3 linked regions of the Xenopus tropicalis genome follow. The protein of the gene in region 2 binds, or shares a complex with, the protein of the main gene of each other region. Links are inferred from orthologs where the notes say so. Each region holds a gene or a part of one and is shown on either strand. Other genes may lie near its edges.

Region 1 (3,654 bases), on a different chromosome or scaffold from region 2:
TGGCCTGAAAGGAGTGTAGATGCAACAACACGGTATATACCCAAGGGTAACCAAAAACAAGCACACTAAGGGGCATATTTATAGTGTGTAAGCCAACATCGCCGGTGATGTTGCCCACAGCAACCAATCAGATCTTTGCTTTTGTTTTCTAACTTGTAGGTGACTGTTAAAATCTAATTGCTGATTGGTTGCTATGGGCAACATCCTCTGTGATGTTGGCTTACACACTTTAATAAATGTGCCAGTACAATTCATTAGGTTCCATCTGTAAAGGAAATCCCCAAAAAAGACACCAGTTATAATATTCTGAAGGGCCACACTAGGCAAAAAATGATCCAGCCAAGGCATCTGCTGAACAAACCAATCAACGAGGGGTACCCTTGCAATGTATTCGGCCAGATATTGAATACATGGGCCGAAGAATCAGCTGAACACCCTTTGCCAGACAAGCTCTAAAACACACTGGCTAGAACACGCTGGATAGAATTTAGAGCCTAAAGCACAAAAATCTGCTCAGCTACAATGTACAGTGTATGCAATACAGCACATCAGCAGAAGCCCAGAGGAAGACGCAGTAAGCACAATGTCAGTGTTACTTGCCTTGTCAGCTTCTTCTTGACATGCACAAAAGTCCTCCCAATCCCAGTTCAAACATATAACAGGCTCTATACAAGCACTGGGAAGCTTTCAGAACCCAGTACCCACCAGTCACAGGTACAAACCGACCAACCAGCTCAGCATTAGTCACAAAAATCACAATAAAGTAGGGCAGTGGTTCTATTGGCTGGAGTATTGCTACTCTGTATTCTACTCTTTAGGACAGCACTTCCCAAACTGTGGTATTTTAGAACACTGGACCCTCAGTTATCTTCAGGCAGGTGAGATTTTCCAATTAAAGGGGAACTCACCCAAACACAACTTTTCGAAACAAACATAATTTGAAGCAACTTTGTAATATACATGAATAAAAAAATACGCAGCCTTTTCATAATGTCTAATGTAATAATAGGGATTGGAACAGTTCCCTAAGCCCCGCCCCCTGTTCCCCTGCTGATCTGGCTGACTACTTTGAGACTCAAATAAAATGTAACAGTAGTCACCTGTTCTCAGCCTGTATCCTCACAATCCCACAATTCCCTGCACAAGTCATGTCAACAAGGAAAGGAACATCACGGTGCAATGCATTGTGGGTAATGTAGTCTTTGCATACTGTCTGTAAGCTGTTACAATTTGTAACATCAGTGTTTTAGTCCCTCCTCCCCTGAAAGGATTTCAGATGATGCAGGAAGAGAGGAAGTGTTTTGCACCTGGATTTCAGCATATAAAAATGGAATTTATTCATTCTTTTTAAGGGAACAGATTACAGTGATAAGTACATTAGGGTTTTATGTGTAGTGTCTTTAACACATTTCTGTAGTTCCCCTTTAACAATAGATATATACACACACACACATATATTTAGTCACATAAACAAATACAAACTGATACAAAGGGTAAAAACACCCCAAAAAAGCCTTGTACCTGCGGAAGGGCCGTGTTCAGCTGCCTCTGGAGAGAGTCCCGCTCATGGCTGGCTTCCTGGAACTTGCTCTGGCTCAATGCTAGAGATTCCTGGGTTTCCCGCAGTGTGTCGAGCAGTCGGTCTCTTTCCTCCAACATGGACACCATAAGCTGCTCAAAATGAGAATCGGAGTCTGCCTGTAAAGGAGACCCGGAGCCATGGCCTCCATTGCCCCCGGATGGCATCTCAGCCTCGCTAATTGTTGGCATCACTTCACACATCATCTGTGGAAAGGAAGGAGAAATCAATTAGCCGATTGGTCGCCTTTAATGAACATTCATTGGCATAAGATCAAATCCACGCCTGACATAGCAAGCAATAAGCAGTAATAAGCAGGTAACGAACACGCTCGTGTTTAGCCACAAACTCTGAACCAGGTCCTGTTGCACGGCTGTGTTGACATGTTTTCCTGCTAAGGTGTCAGACTAGAGAAACACCCAGCCCTGTGTAACAGCTGATAAAACCAAAGCAGGGATGGGTGTTGAGTGATCTGAAATCCGTGGCATAAAAGGGAAGTAAAAGCTGATATTTACACAACAGACAGCCATATAGATCACCCAGACTGCTTACAGTACTCACAGCAGGGTTATCTAACCAGACTCCGCACAGCTGCTGCTGAACTGCAACTCACACAATCCCTTAGACAGTCAAAAGAGTAGTTTCAGGTAACTAAATTGGATATCCCATCTACAACATTACAGAAAAGAGCTAGCTTGTTTCCTTTCTCTTCTCTGGTTCTGACTCCTGCAACAATGTAGCAGAATCACTTTTCTTTAGGTCTGTCGCTTTGGCCTCTGCTACATTTTTTTAACCCAGTAATTAGGAGAATATAAAACAGCCAGGTATATATGGTAATCAGGGACCTTCCCATTATATACAGGTATGGAATCCGTTATCCGGAAATCCATTATCCAGAATTACGGAAAGCCTGTCTCCCATAGACTCCATTTTAATCAGATTTTTAAAATGGATTTCCCGTTTTTCTGTAATGATAAAACAGAACATTGTATTTGATCCCAACTAAGATATAATTACCCCTTATTGGGGCAGAACAGTCCTATTGGGGTTATTTAATGGTTAAATGATTCCCTTTTCTCTGTAATAATAAAACAGTACCTGTACTTGATCCCAACTAAGATATAATTACCCCTTATTGGGGGCAGAACAACCCTATTGGGTTTATTTCATGGTTAAATGATTCCCCTTTCTCTGTAATAATAAAACAGTACCTGTACTTGATCCCAACTAAGATATAATTACCCCTTATTGGGGCAGAACAGTACTATTGGGTTTATTTAATGGTTAAATGATTCCCTTTTCTCTGTAATAATAAAATAGAACATTGTATTTGATCCCAACCTAGATATAAATAATCCTTATTGGATGCAAAATAATCCTGTTGGGTTTAATTAATGCTTTATTGATTTTTTAGTAGACTTAAGATATGGAGATCCAAATTACGGAAAGACCCCTTCTCCTGAGCATTCTAGATATAGGAGCCGTTATCCAGAATGCTCAGGAGAAGGGGTCTTTCTGTAATTTGGATCTCCATATCTTAAGTCTACTAAAAAATCAATAAAGCATTAATACAATGAAAAGAAGCCCCTGACCTGCACCAGAAGGAGTTTCATGTAATAAAATCCTTCTCGGAGCACTTTGTGCTGCCATTAATGGGGATCCTTTATACCAAATTAAGCAGACCTTAGGTGTATAGCCGGCTTTAGTATAACACAGAAAAGTAATGAATTACACCACACCTTTAATTGGAATAGAATTCACTCAGTCCAACATAATAAGGCTAATTAACATGCTTGAATAAATGAGACCTAAGGCTACAGGAAGCCTGAATAAAAATGCTTTACACATAGATCGTTTGATGTAGAGCGTAATAACTTAAGAATTTGCAATTGGTCTTCATTTTTTTTATTATCTGTAGTTTTTCAATTTTAGTTCAACAGCTATCTGGTTGCTAGGGTACAAATGACCTTAGCAACCAGGGAGTGGTTTGAATGAGAGACTTCAGGAAAGGACCTGAATAGAAAAGTAAGTTATGAAAAGTAACAACAATAAATCTGTCTACCCACAGAGCAATA
Region 2 (3,654 bases):
TTGACCGACCTTGGGAAAGATCAGCCTCTCCAAACAGACACCATAAAGGGAATATTTAAACAAGAAGTCAAGTTCCCGAGCCCAGTCCTGCTAACCAGGCAACGGGTCCGAGAGGTTATAAAATCCAACCCGAATGCGAACTCTTTCTCTTTGCATAGCGCTTTTGTTTGCACAGTGGCAGCAGCAGCAGCATCCAAAATCCATGTACAAAACCCCAGCCAGACCCAGCAACTCTGCAATTAGGCTCGGCTTAAATACCTCTTATATTTATGTACATAAGGTGGCCATGTGTTTGGCTCTTTATACGTGAGAAGGGGGCGATGGGCAACGCAGAGAAACAAGAGGCTCTGTGTGATTTATGAAGGATGTTTACACAAGCAGTGAGTTTCCTGGGCACGGATACAAACCTGGCAACAGGGTAAAAAGGGCACAATGGCTAGAATAGCTTCTAGTTAAAGGGGTGGTTCACCTTTAAGTTACCGTGTAGTATGTCATAGAATGGTCAATGATTCCCTTTTCTCTGTAATAATAAAACAGTACCTGTACTTGATCCCAACCAAGATATAATTACCCCTTATTGGGGCAGAACAGCCCTATTGGGTTTATTTAATGGTTAAATGATTCCCTTTTCTCTGTAATAATAAAACAGTACCTGTACTTGATCCCAACTAAGATATAATTACCCCTTATTGGGGCAGAACAGCCCTATTGGGTTTATTTAATGGTTAAATGATTCCCTTTTCTCTGTAATAATAAAATAGTACCTGTACTTGATCCCAACTAAGATATAATTACCCCTTATTGGGGGCAGAACAGCCCTATTGGGTTTATTTAATGGTTAAATGATTCCCTTTTCTCTGTAATAATAAAATAGTACCTGTACTTGATCCCAACCAAGATATAATTACCCCTTATTGGGGCAGAACAGCCCTATTGGGTTTATTTAATGGTTAAATGATTCCCTTTTCTCTGTAATAATAAAATAGTACCTGTACTTGATCCCAACCAAGATATAATTACCCCTTATTGGGGCAGAACAGCCCTATTGGGTTTATTTAATGGTTAAATGATTCCCTTTTCTCTGTAATAATAAAATAGTACCTGTACTTGATCCCAACTAAGATATAATTACCCCTTATTGGGGGCAGAACAGCCCTATTGGGTTTATTTCATGGTTAAATGATTCCCTTTTCTCTGTAATAATAAAACAGTACCTGTACTTGATCCCAACTAAGGTATAAATACCCCTTATTGGGGCAGAACAGCCCTATTGGGTTTATTTAATGGTTAAATGATTCCCTTTTCTCTGTAATAATAAAATAGTACCTGTACTTGATCCCAACTAAGGTATAAATACCCCTTATTGGGGCAGAACAGCCCTATTGGGTTTATTTAATGGTTAAATGATTCCCTTTTCTCTGTAATAATAAAATAGTACCTGTACTTGATCCCAACTAAGATATAATTACCCCTTATTGGGGGCAGAACAGCCCTATTGGGTTTATTTAATGGTTAAATGATTCCCTTTTCTCTGTAATAATAAAATAGTACCTGTACTTGATCCCAACCAAGATATAATTACCCCTTATTGGGGCAGAACAGCCCTATTGGGTTTATTTAATGGTTAAATGATTCCCTTTTCTCTGTAATAATAAAACAGTACCTGTACTTGATCCCAACTAAGATATAATTACCCCTTATTGAGGGCAGAACAATCCTATTGGTTTAATTAATGGTCTATTGATTTTTTTAGCAGACTTAAGGTATGGAGATCCAAATTACGGAAAGTCCCCTTATCCAGAATACCCTTGGTCCCGAGCATTATGGATAACGGGTCCTATACCTGTAGTTACTGAAACTACAGAGTGGAGAGCTGCTGAGCAAAAAGTGAAATGATTAAAAAAGCTACAAATAAAAATAAAGACCAATTGCAAGTATTACTGTATACATCATACTAAAGTGAACGCAAAGGTTTTCAACCCCGTTAAGGGCCACCCTATGCCTTGAGTAGAAGCCACTAGGCTAGCCCGAGAGAACCAATCAGCACATATTCAGAATACAAGCACAGAAGCACTAACATACCTGATTCTCTTCTTGGACAACCCGGTATTGCTCCTTCCACACAGTGATCTTGGACACCTCGTCTTTACGCAAGGCTCGCTCCTTCTTCAGCTCGGGGCTCCAGAAGGTCTTGATGCTGTTCATGGACGAGCTCAGCTTGCTCTCTTTCACCTCGACATCTTTGCGCAGAAGGTCATTTTCCCTCAGAACTTCCTTGAGTTGGGCCTGGAGGTCCATGATGGTGTTGTCTCGTGCCTGGCGTAATGAATGGGGGACGGTGGAGGCCATGCTGACCGGTGGTAAATGATGGTCCCCAAAGGCAATGGTGTCGCTGGCCACGCCACTAGTGGCGATGTTGGGACTGCTTCCCATTGCAGTCATTCTTACGCCGTAGGGAAGTCTACCCCCGGACCTCCCCAAAGTCATGGTGCTTTTGGGTGTGTCGCCCCCAACAATTTCATGGTCGCTGAGATACATCGGGCTCGCCGTGGCATAAGCAGCATTAAGAGACTGGATATTTTCCATGGACAGGGTCTTTCCACTACCACCCCCAGGAGGCCCTCCAGAACTCCCTCCGGTGCTGTTTGTGCGGCGGTGGCCCAACCGAGGAGAACGTGGAAGCCTCGGAGAGCGGCCAGGACTCTGGCTGCTGGACTCCACCTTCCCGACGGAGCGAGAACTTCCATACATGGCTGCGATCGGAGGTGGTGGCTTGTACGCAAATGAAAAGTTAAAGGGTTCCTCTGCTTCTCCCACAAGGGATTAGGGGCAATGGTGTCAAACGATTAAAAGTTTATAAAAGATAACGGATTTTCCATGTTTTTCAGATGTCCAGTTCATGTGACCTGCAGAGAAGCAAAAACATGAGAGATGGTTACTAAATGAGCATTCGGGACTACTAGGTTGCAAGCCCATGAAGAAATGTCCTTCAACAGCCTTAAGGGTAATTATTTAATTTAGGGGTGCTCTTTTATCCCCAATTAACTTCTGATGCGGTCTTTGCCCAATGACATTGTCTAACCTGCCCGATGGATATCTGGTACGGTTTTGGCCAAATATAATCGTGAAGGCCATTGTGAGGCCACCTTGCATAGTCCAATCCAATAAGTTGCCAAGTCAGCACTCTGTAGATCCATGTATGGCAACGATTATCTAAGCTACAGGGTGAAGTTGCACTTAATTTTATCCAATGGAGCAAAGGGACCCCTAACAGTTCAACGTGCACCCACACACCAACTACAGACGCAGAAAGAATATATAAGCAGAATAATCTATTCTCTAACGTATAACCAAAAGGATATGAGAAATCAGTGTTGGGTTCCATAACCACATGAAGCTACCAGGTGACTTTCTCCAGGTAAAACATATGTAACCATAAGGAAATTACAAAATTCAAGTCCAAGGACCACAAAATGGAGGCCCCAAAGCAAGACCTTGGGCAGGACAATGAAGTCCTGGAAAGAAAACTGCAAGCACGGGCCCCACATCAAGGAGTTGGGCAGATGCCTTGTAGATTGTAAGCTCTTTTGGGCAGGGCTCTCGTCACCTCTTGTATCGGTTATTGATTGCTTTATATGTTACTCCTTGTAGAGT
Region 3 (3,654 bases), about 7.0 Mb from region 2:
TGTGACCCTCCCTACTTCCTGTGCACGGGTACCTACTTCCCAAACAGTTTCCGTATCCCTCGCGGTTTCTTCTTGTAGTCGGGGGAGGAGGGGGAGCTGTGGGTGCTGCCTCCATCCATGGAGTTGGGGGAAGAGAGCGCCAGATCCAGGTGATCAGTGGATCCCTTCTCCGTGTCTGAGTCCCGGGGGGGGGGGGGAGAAAGAGTTTGGGTCACACAAAAGCAGAATATTGGGTCCAGGTGAAGCCGGAACCTACTCAGTGAATCCCTAACAGGCACCGGGGGGAGCAGAGGATCCTGGGATACCTACCTCCTCCTTCTCCAACGTCCCCCCCCCGAAATGAATTTGCCCCAGAAGCTGCCCCCGCGCCACTAACGAGCCTCAGCGCTAATTCCTGCTAACGACCGCCAATAAGGAGAGTTATGGAAAATAGAACCCTGGTTCCGTTTGGATCCGTCCCAGGGGGCGGGATTAGAACATCACGTAGGGGATACTGGTTACGGATTGGACGGGGCAAAGACAGGGGAAGTTAAAGGCAAAGTCTATTTTCCAAACGTCTCCTTATGGCGGAAGTCGTTATTAATTGCGACAATGACGCCGTCACTTTAAGCGCCAAGCGTTGAGCGGCTGCTCCAGCGCACTAAAGGGTTAATGTATTGCAAAGGGAAAATACACCTCGGTCTCTCCTGTTATTCCATAGGGCAGCTCCCACCCCGTACGCTGAATAAGCCACACCCCCCTCCTACCTTTCAACCCCTTAAGTGCCAGTCGGTAGTTGGCCGGCCGGCAGCTAAAGGGTTACACACAGTATACTTTCCCTTTAAAACGAGGCAGCGGTTGCTATAGCGTCTCTATGGGGGGGTAAATATCCACATTAGTGCGTTTTTCCAAGAACGATGAGCGTTATGGGCGGGGTTAGGGCGGCGCCCGTGGGCGTGGGTTATTATCACACCAATTAGTGATGGATCCTAGGGATGATTTAGTGGGGGGCACAACACAGCGATGGGTGGGTACAGGGGCAGCGAGGCACGATGGGGGGAGGGGCACAGCACGATGGGGGGAGGGGCACATGCGAATTTACTATACCTAGGGCGGGGGCGCTCGCACTCCGGCTGCGGTCTTCGGATTTCCGACAAAAAATGTGGAGAATGTGCAGAGAGACAGTTATTGGTAACAGACAGTACAGCAACCCGAACACAGGGGGGCGCCAGAGAGAAACGGTCGCATTCCTACTAGCTTTCTGGTTGCTATGGTCACTGATCCTAACAACCGTGAGAGGCTGACTACATGAGATGAACGTCACTGGAAGTTATTAATTCATTGATAACACCGATTGTGGTTGCCATGGGGGGGGGGGGGGTCACTGACCCTAGAAACCAGAAATCATTTAATGATAAAGAGATAATGATCTGCAACATTATTAGTCAGTTTAACTTCCCCTTTAACACTTTGTTGTGTTACAGCAGCCATGAATCCAACAATAGGGACCTTAGATTGTAAGCTCACTGGGGCAGGGACTGATGGGAATGGGATAGGGACCTTAGATTGTAAGCTCACTGGGGCAGGGGGCTGATGGGAATGGGATAGGGACCTTAGATTGTAAGCTCACTGGGGCAGGGGCTGATGGGAATGGGATAGGGACCTTAGATTGTAAGCTCACTGGGGCAGGGGCTGATGGGAATGTGATAGGGGCCTTAGATTGTAAGCTCACTGGGGCAGGGACTGATGGGAATGTGATAGGGGCCTTAGATTGTAAGCTCACTGGGGCAGGGACTGATGGGAATGGGATAGGGACCTTAGATTGTAAGCTCACTGGGGCAGGGACTGATGGGAATGGGATAGGGACCTTAGATTGTAAGCTCACTGGGGCAGGGACTGATGGGAATGGGATAGGGACCTTAGATTGTAAGCTCACTGGGGCAGGGGCTGATGGGAATGGGATAGGGACCTTAGATTGTAAGCTCACTGGGGCAGGGACTGATGGGAATGGGATAGGGACCTTAGATTGTAAGCTCACTGGGGCAGGGACTGATGGGAATGGGATAGGGACCTTAGATTGTAAGCTCACTGGGGCAGGGACTGATGGGAATGGGATAGGGACCTTAGATTGTAAGCTCACTGGGGCAGGGACTGATGGGAATGGGATAGGGACCTTAGACTGTAAGCTCACTGGGGCAGGGGCTGATGGGAATGGGATAGGGACCTTAGATTGTAAGCTCACTAGGGCAGGGACTGATGGGAATGGGATAGGGACCTTAGAGTGTAAGCTCACTGGGGCAGGGACTGATGGGAATGGGATATTAGATTGTAAGCTCACTGGGGCAGGGGCTGATGGGAATGGGATAGGGACCTTAGATTGTAAGCTCACTGGGGCAGGGGCTGATGGGAATGGGATAGGGACCTTAGATTGTAAGCTCACTGGGGCAGGGGCTGATGGGAATGGGATAGGGGGCAGAACCTGCATATTCTGGGGGGGGGCAGTTTGCTGACAGGGGAGAGGGAGGGGCTCTCACATTCCCACAGAAGAATCAGAAGCAGATTAACCCCCGGGAGACTTGGCCGCCCACATGCTGGAACTGTTCATTAACCCCTCGCTGGAAGGGACACACAAGCTGCTTGTGCTTTAGGGTTCAGACAACTCGAGACCCATTTTACAACTTTTTACATTTTTTTTTTGTTCTGCCGCTCTCAGTGTTGAACTGCTACCTGGTTGCTACGGGTTATCTACCTTAACAACCAAGAGTCTGGGGCTGAGTAGATTATATCGAAGTTATATCGAAGACTCAGGGCCCCTAAACCTTAACTTTCCTTAAGGGCAACTGAGCCACAAATTGACCTTTAAGGTCGAGCTCTGTAACCATGCAGCACCCCCTTAGTTACACACAGTGTCATTACCCGTACGACACGCAGGGGTCAGTAGAGGAGAGTTGCCCCACGGTGGGGGTGCTACATACCTAGATTGGGGGTGCTCGAGGTCTTCTTGGTATTCTTCATCTTAAAGAACCCTCGGCCAAAGGACGACCGGGCCTTACGGGTGCCGAAACTCTCGTCGTCGGTGGCCGCTCCTTGGCCGGGGGGCCGCGGGGGGAGGGTCTCAAACTTGCCCGGTTCCGGGGAGGCCGTTCTCTGAGGGGTAAACCAAGAAAAACACATCAGAAGATGCGGCAGCTGGAAATTCAGTTAGTTCTGCAGAGCAAGCCCTGCCCACTGTCTGGGGGCGGAGCTTAATCTAGAGCAGATCCAGGAAGTAGAGGTAAGGAAATAGGTAAGTACTGCAGGCATGTTTTAATAATGGGCCCTGCAGGGGGTGGGGGGGTGGGTATATAAAGGGGAAGTACGCCTGCCCAAAGCTGGTCGAAAGGGAACAGCCTTCATTGACTCTCCTAATGCCCCGCCCATTTCTGGATTTGTGCCCCGCCCATTTCTGGATTTGTGCCCCGCCCCCCGGGGCACTCACCAGTTCTGTAGGTTCCTTCTTCAGGTTATCCAAGCTGCTGGAGTTTGAGACTGGCGATCTGAACAAATGAAAATTAAAGGGGAACTAAACATAAAAAAAATACATTGAGACAGGAGAGTAAAGGGCAAGTAAACCCCAAAGTACAATGTCATGTATGCCCCCCCCGGTGGTCATACTGTCAGCAAAGATGGAGGAAG

Evidence for each region.
Region 1: erc1 (region 2) and ppfia1 share a complex: the UniProt entries of both Homo sapiens proteins name them as parts of the cortical microtubule stabilization complex. The link is inferred for Xenopus tropicalis from reciprocal best matches to the Homo sapiens genes ERC1 and PPFIA1.
Region 3: erc1 (region 2) and ppfibp1 share a complex: the UniProt entries of both Homo sapiens proteins name them as parts of the cortical microtubule stabilization complex. The link is inferred for Xenopus tropicalis from reciprocal best matches to the Homo sapiens genes ERC1 and PPFIBP1.

The regions. Positions count from the first base shown.
Region 1 is NC_030680.2:14,493,510-14,497,163, reverse strand, and holds part of ppfia1 (liprin-alpha-1), read right to left. Parts: intron 1,786-3,654; coding exon 1,522-1,785; intron 1-1,521. UniProt on the Homo sapiens protein: May regulate the disassembly of focal adhesions. May localize receptor-like tyrosine phosphatases type 2A at specific sites on the plasma membrane, possibly regulating their interaction with the extracellular environment and their association with substrates.
Region 2 is NC_030679.2:9,627,623-9,631,276, forward strand, and holds part of erc1 (ELKS/Rab6-interacting/CAST family member 1), read right to left. Parts: intron 2,907-3,654; 5' UTR 2,752-2,906; coding exon 2,083-2,751; intron 1-2,082. UniProt on the Homo sapiens protein: Regulatory subunit of the IKK complex. Probably recruits IkappaBalpha/NFKBIA to the complex. May be involved in the organization of the cytomatrix at the nerve terminals active zone (CAZ) which regulates neurotransmitter release.
Region 3 is NC_030679.2:2,632,838-2,636,491, forward strand, and holds part of ppfibp1 (liprin-beta-1), read right to left. Parts: intron 3,516-3,654; coding exon 3,458-3,515; intron 3,127-3,457; coding exon 2,955-3,126; intron 1,120-2,954; coding exon 1,087-1,119; intron 176-1,086; coding exon 37-175; intron 1-36. UniProt on the Homo sapiens protein: May regulate the disassembly of focal adhesions. Did not bind receptor-like tyrosine phosphatases type 2A.